Linked DNA regions of Kluyveromyces lactis. The protein of the gene in region 1 binds, or shares a complex with, the protein of each later gene. Links are inferred from orthologs where the notes say so. Each region holds a gene or a part of one and is shown on either strand. Other genes may lie near its edges. The genes, in order: RPP1A and RPL38.

The links.
Region 2: RPP1A (region 1) and RPL38 share a complex: the UniProt entries of both Saccharomyces cerevisiae proteins name them as parts of the large ribosomal subunit. The link is inferred for Kluyveromyces lactis from reciprocal best matches to the Saccharomyces cerevisiae genes RPP1A and RPL38.

Annotation. Positions count from the first base shown.
Region 1 is NC_006041.1:1,966,729-1,969,238, forward strand, and holds RPP1A (ribosomal protein P1), read right to left. Parts: upstream 908-2,510; coding exon 587-907; downstream 1-586. Other genes in the region: KLLA0_E22001g (60S ribosomal protein eL13), read left to right, coding at 1-129; SIP5 (Sip5p), read right to left, coding at 1,565-2,510. UniProt on the Saccharomyces cerevisiae protein: Component of the ribosome, a large ribonucleoprotein complex responsible for the synthesis of proteins in the cell.
Region 2 is NC_006039.1:1,608,800-1,611,315, reverse strand, and holds RPL38 (60S ribosomal protein eL38), read right to left. Parts: upstream 775-2,516; coding exon 538-774; downstream 1-537. Other genes in the region: transcription factor IIF subunit TFG2, read right to left, coding at 1,428-2,516. UniProt on the Saccharomyces cerevisiae protein: Component of the ribosome, a large ribonucleoprotein complex responsible for the synthesis of proteins in the cell.

The DNA.
Region 1 (2,510 bases):
GCTGTTGAAGACAACGGTGAATCTGCTTACAGAACTTTGAGATTGGCTAGATCCGACAAGAGATACAAGGGTATCAGAGAAAAGAGAGCTAAGGACAAGGCTGAAGCTGAAGCTGAAAAGAAGAAATAAGCAACTCCATACCTTTTATTCAAATACTAGACAAAACGTTGTTTTATTTTATAAATATCTTTTAATCAAATTATCTTTCCGTCATTAAGAATTAATGTCACCGCATCCCCTTTCTCAATAAGTTTCCTGTTTGGTAATTATGAGACATTGTCTACCGTGTAAAAAAACGTATAAACTATAATATTTTACATCTAATTCAAATTATCAGATTATCAATTTGTCTAATGATATTATGGAACCTTATACGATCCTACTTATATTTCAAAGTGTCACTAGTGATGAGATGCTTTGAAGATTGGACGTTTGTGTATTAAAAACGGTTGATTATATATACATATTTGTGTATACACTCAAATGATGTGTTATTTGATTCTCAAATTTAACGTAGTAAGTAGTAGCTTAATGCGCTAGTAATAAAAACAGAATTTATTCCTCCTATGTTAAAAGTTAACCTAATTTAATCGAACAAACCGAAACCCATGTCATCATCGGATTCTTCCTTGGCTTCTTCTTCCTTTTCTTCAGCAGCAGCTTCTTCGGCACCGGCAGCAGCACCACCAGTAGCAACTGGAGCAGCACCACCAGCACCAGCTTCGAACTTGACCAACAAGTCCTTGATGTTTTGCTTAGCCAAAGCCTTAGCAAAGATATCAGCCCAGATACCTTCAACTGGGACGTTGGCAGCTTCAGTCAAAGCCAACAACTTTTCAGAAGAGACTTCGATATCAGCATCAGCCAAGATCAAAGCAGCGTAAGACAAAGCAGTTTCAACAGACATTTCTAATGTAAAATTTCCTGGTTCTGGCAAGTGTAGAGATAATCAGATTAAGCTCGTAATGAAGCAGACTATTTCTTTGGTCCTTTGAAAATAAGAGAAACTAAATAATAAAACGATATAAGTAATAAGAATATTTCATAAAAGAAGCTTCAAATTGAACAAATGCCATCATGTGTAAAACAAATACTTTTCCTATCGAAATGTTAAATGGTTACTCCTGTAAGTTTTATTGATATTTCACATCTCATCGTGGAAAGGTGAAAAATTTCAGGAAAAGCTGCGTGGTTTCGTCAGGCATGATAATTCGTGTGATGTGATATAATGTTTCTGCATGAAACGCTGGATGTACAGAGTCAGCGTAGATGTACAAGGGAGAATCCCTGATATTGAGTCGGAGTGAGTCCGCAGATGGGTGCTATATTCCACATAATATTCTATGTTTTATAAACATATATATACTCGCGCGCAGTGTTACTGATGAGTGTACCTTGTATCTTAAGGTATGATGCGAAAGTTATGGGATTGTTAAAAGATGCATGCAAAGTGAAGTAATTTGCGAATGTGTTGATTGTATCTGTCGTTAGTCGTGAAGGTAATGAAGGAGACAGCAGTGCAGGAGAAAATGCTTTCAGTTCATGAAATAAGCTCCAAATTAGGTTAATGATCCTGCAAACTTAGTTTGATTGCTTGTTGGAGCATTTCGTCATCCAGTTCTTCTAATGTTTTCTGACGACGTTGAGGACTATTCCCTCCGTCAGGGCCTCCAACTGAAGAAGAAATGGATGCGTGTCTAGAAGGGTGTTCGGGATCAATTAATTGATTACTCATGTGTATTGCAGTAGCTTTTGCTGATCTTCTAGCGAGTCTTAATCTTTCTTTGGTTAGATTGATCTCCCAGTCAGGTCTTATAGAATCGGATGTTATCACAGACGGATCATCGGCTGCTATTGAGCCCCTACGAATTTGTTCTATAGTTACGAGTTCGTCATCTTCATTGCTGCTAGAATCCGATACTAGGCCTTCACGGTCCTTGTATTCGGCAATCTTGTATTCGGAAGCGTAGATCCCGTTGATTCCAGTCCGCACGTCCCTGCGCGGTTCGTATGTTACACCAAACTCTGCAGTGGCACAGTAAGGGCAATTGGCAGGTTCACTGACAAGAAGGTTGGGATCCTTCAATTCGTCCGGTTCTTGATCTTGAGTTGGATCTACCTCTTCATGCGGGAAGTGTGGTGCGGCACGCTTGATTTGGACGAAGCATTCAGTACAGATCGGTTGCTTGCAACATCTGGAAATATTCAAAGGCTTAGGAAAGTAGAGGAAACATATTGGACATTCTGCTCCATTTTTGTACAAAGTATATTTCAAATCATCACTGGGTAAAGCCGGGTTCTTTGCTTCCGTATGTTTTTTGTTCATAAGTTTCAGCTCAAGATACCGTTCATTTGCCCTCTCCTGCCAACCAACTCTTTTGAAATATAACCTTGCCTTAGAAATTTTCGACCTTTGCCTTCTTTGTTCCCTTTTCGAAGCGGTACTATCCAGTAGATAGTCAAATTCGTCATCGGCTAAATCACCGGTCGGAACTCCCTCAAATTCTTCT
Region 2 (2,516 bases), on another chromosome or scaffold:
AAAGCACACCTATATACTCATATATACCAAAAACAAATAAAAAAAATAGATGAGATAATAATCATGCAGTGATAATGACGATATAACAGAGCTTGTACTAATAATACCAGGGAAAATTCATACTGTGTATAACCTCAGTCATTTTTCCTTGTGAAGCCCAAAATAAAACTTTAAAAGCTCGCAAAGACAATTAACACAGGTAAAAAAAACCTACCACTGGACGCTTAATACAAGCTGTATTATCATCATTAGAGTAGTAATCTTATCGTCTCATCAATGAAAGAATGCAGATAAAAAGTATGCGTTTATTATAACTTATTTGACGAGTTTGTTCATTTCAATCTGGATGGTTCGTTCCTCAGGTAAAAATTGCCAGTACAAAGTGCTGGTAATTAAATCAATTCAAATTCAATTTAAATTCAATTCAATAAGAGTACTTACCCCACACCATGGGTTGAAACAGACGATTGGTGGAATTTCCAAAAAAAACAGTTGATATGGTATTAAAGAAAGTATTAGTGTCTCTCTAGACTACCCTTACAACTTGTTAACGTTGAAAGTTGGTGGCAAAGATTGCAACAATTTCTTGGCCTTACCAGCATCGTTAACAATCAAGGTGTACAAGTATCTGGAACCTCTTAGCTTGAACTTGGTTTGTCTGAAAGCCTTACCGTTCTTGTTCAACTTCTTGTTGATCTTGACGGTAGCAGAGTTGACATCTTGTCTTCTGATCAATTCCAAGAATTCCTTAATATCAGCGATTTCCTTAGCCATTTTTGTTAATGTACTTCCTAGTTGTTGATGCTTGGAGATTCACAGAAACTATTAAGACAAAAGAGTTAATAAACTGTAATTAAAAGTTATAAAGAATACTAAACAAGAACCGATAATACAATGTAAAAAACGCTAAACATCAAAAAAACACTAAATGGACATATACAAAACACCACTATTAACGACAAATGTTAAAATCTAAAACGTTAAAACTGTCGAAAGTTGTTCGAAACTAAACGTTTACTGGCTTGCCAATTGCACAATACTCAATGAGCACAGTCGATGAGATTGGTGAAAAGTTTAGTTGATGGTGTGTGGGTGTCAGGAGGTTGGCTTTTAGAGATTTTTTGGGTTTCTTTGAGTATTATACTACCCAATTGAGAATTTTCTCGTTTTGTATCCGGATGTGTGGGTTTTTATTTTTCAGTGTTTGGAGTGTATGGGTGTTATTTTAACAATGGACAGTCCTTTGTTAATCACGTGATTTGAATTCTTTAATCCTACTATTGGTTCAGGTCACAAGAATACATCACAGGACTAGACATGCCAGCATCATGAATAAGATATCCATTCATTTACTAGATAACCGGTGGGGCATGATTATGTGTATATATATATATATATATATATATATATACTATGTTTGAAGGGTTCTACAACACATCCTCCATTTCCACGTCTTCCAAGTCTTCCTCCTCTTGCTCGTTCTCCTGTTGTTGTTGTTGATCAAATTGGTCTTGAATCTGCTGCTGTTGTTCTGGATCAGCGTGTTGTGCCAATTCACCAAGCGTAGCAGCTCTTTCAGCTTCCTTCAACTTTTTATATTCCGATTTTAAAGTATATTTCAAGGCATACGGACCCTTTTTCACAAGCATAGCAACTTGATCTAGCGATTCCTTTAAATATGCTTCTGGTTGTCTTGTTCTCTCCTTCAAACCTTTCAAGGACCAATAATCGTATTCATCAAACAACTTGAACAATAGATCCAAAAGTTCCTTCTTTGGCAAACGGATAGCCCTTGCGTTGTTCTTCTTTTCCTTTCCAACTTTTAAGAACTTGGAAGTGTCGGATCTCATCGACATACCGGCGTTACTCATAGTGACACCAGGAGTTTGGTCAAGCACCGTAACCGTTGGTTTGTGGATGTTTCTAACGATTTGTCTTCTATGTTCCACAATTGTATGGTAATTTGGATCGTCTATCGAGGGCATCACTTGACATTCGTGGTACACTTTCCCCGTCACTGCAGTTTTCTTCGGAATAGTCTTCACGTACGGGATGTATCTATCTCTACCGTCCCTATCCGTCATGACACGGTGCTGAAACCTTCTCTTGTTGTACTTACGCTTCATCTGCTGCTGTTTTTTCTTCATCTCTTCCTCTCTTTCTTGTTTCCTTATGTATGCCTGTCTTTGCAACTCGGGGTTCGACTCCAATTCCTTGGCAAACTGCTGATATTTCTTCAAATTTTGTTCAGTGAATACGTACTCGTTCGTGACTTCTTTCTTGGTCAACTCTAAGTCATATTTGTGCGGTATGTCCTTGTTGTCCTCATCCTCATTCAACAACAACTGGATCGAATGGTCCGCATTATTAATCCTAACTTTACCCAATTCTTGTCCATGCAATGCAGTACGGTTTCTCCAATTTTCAGCTAAGAACTTAGGCAGACGTACAAGCCAAATCTTCTTCCTGGCGTTGGATAGATCCAAGTCTAACGATTCCTCATAAACCTTTTTCTC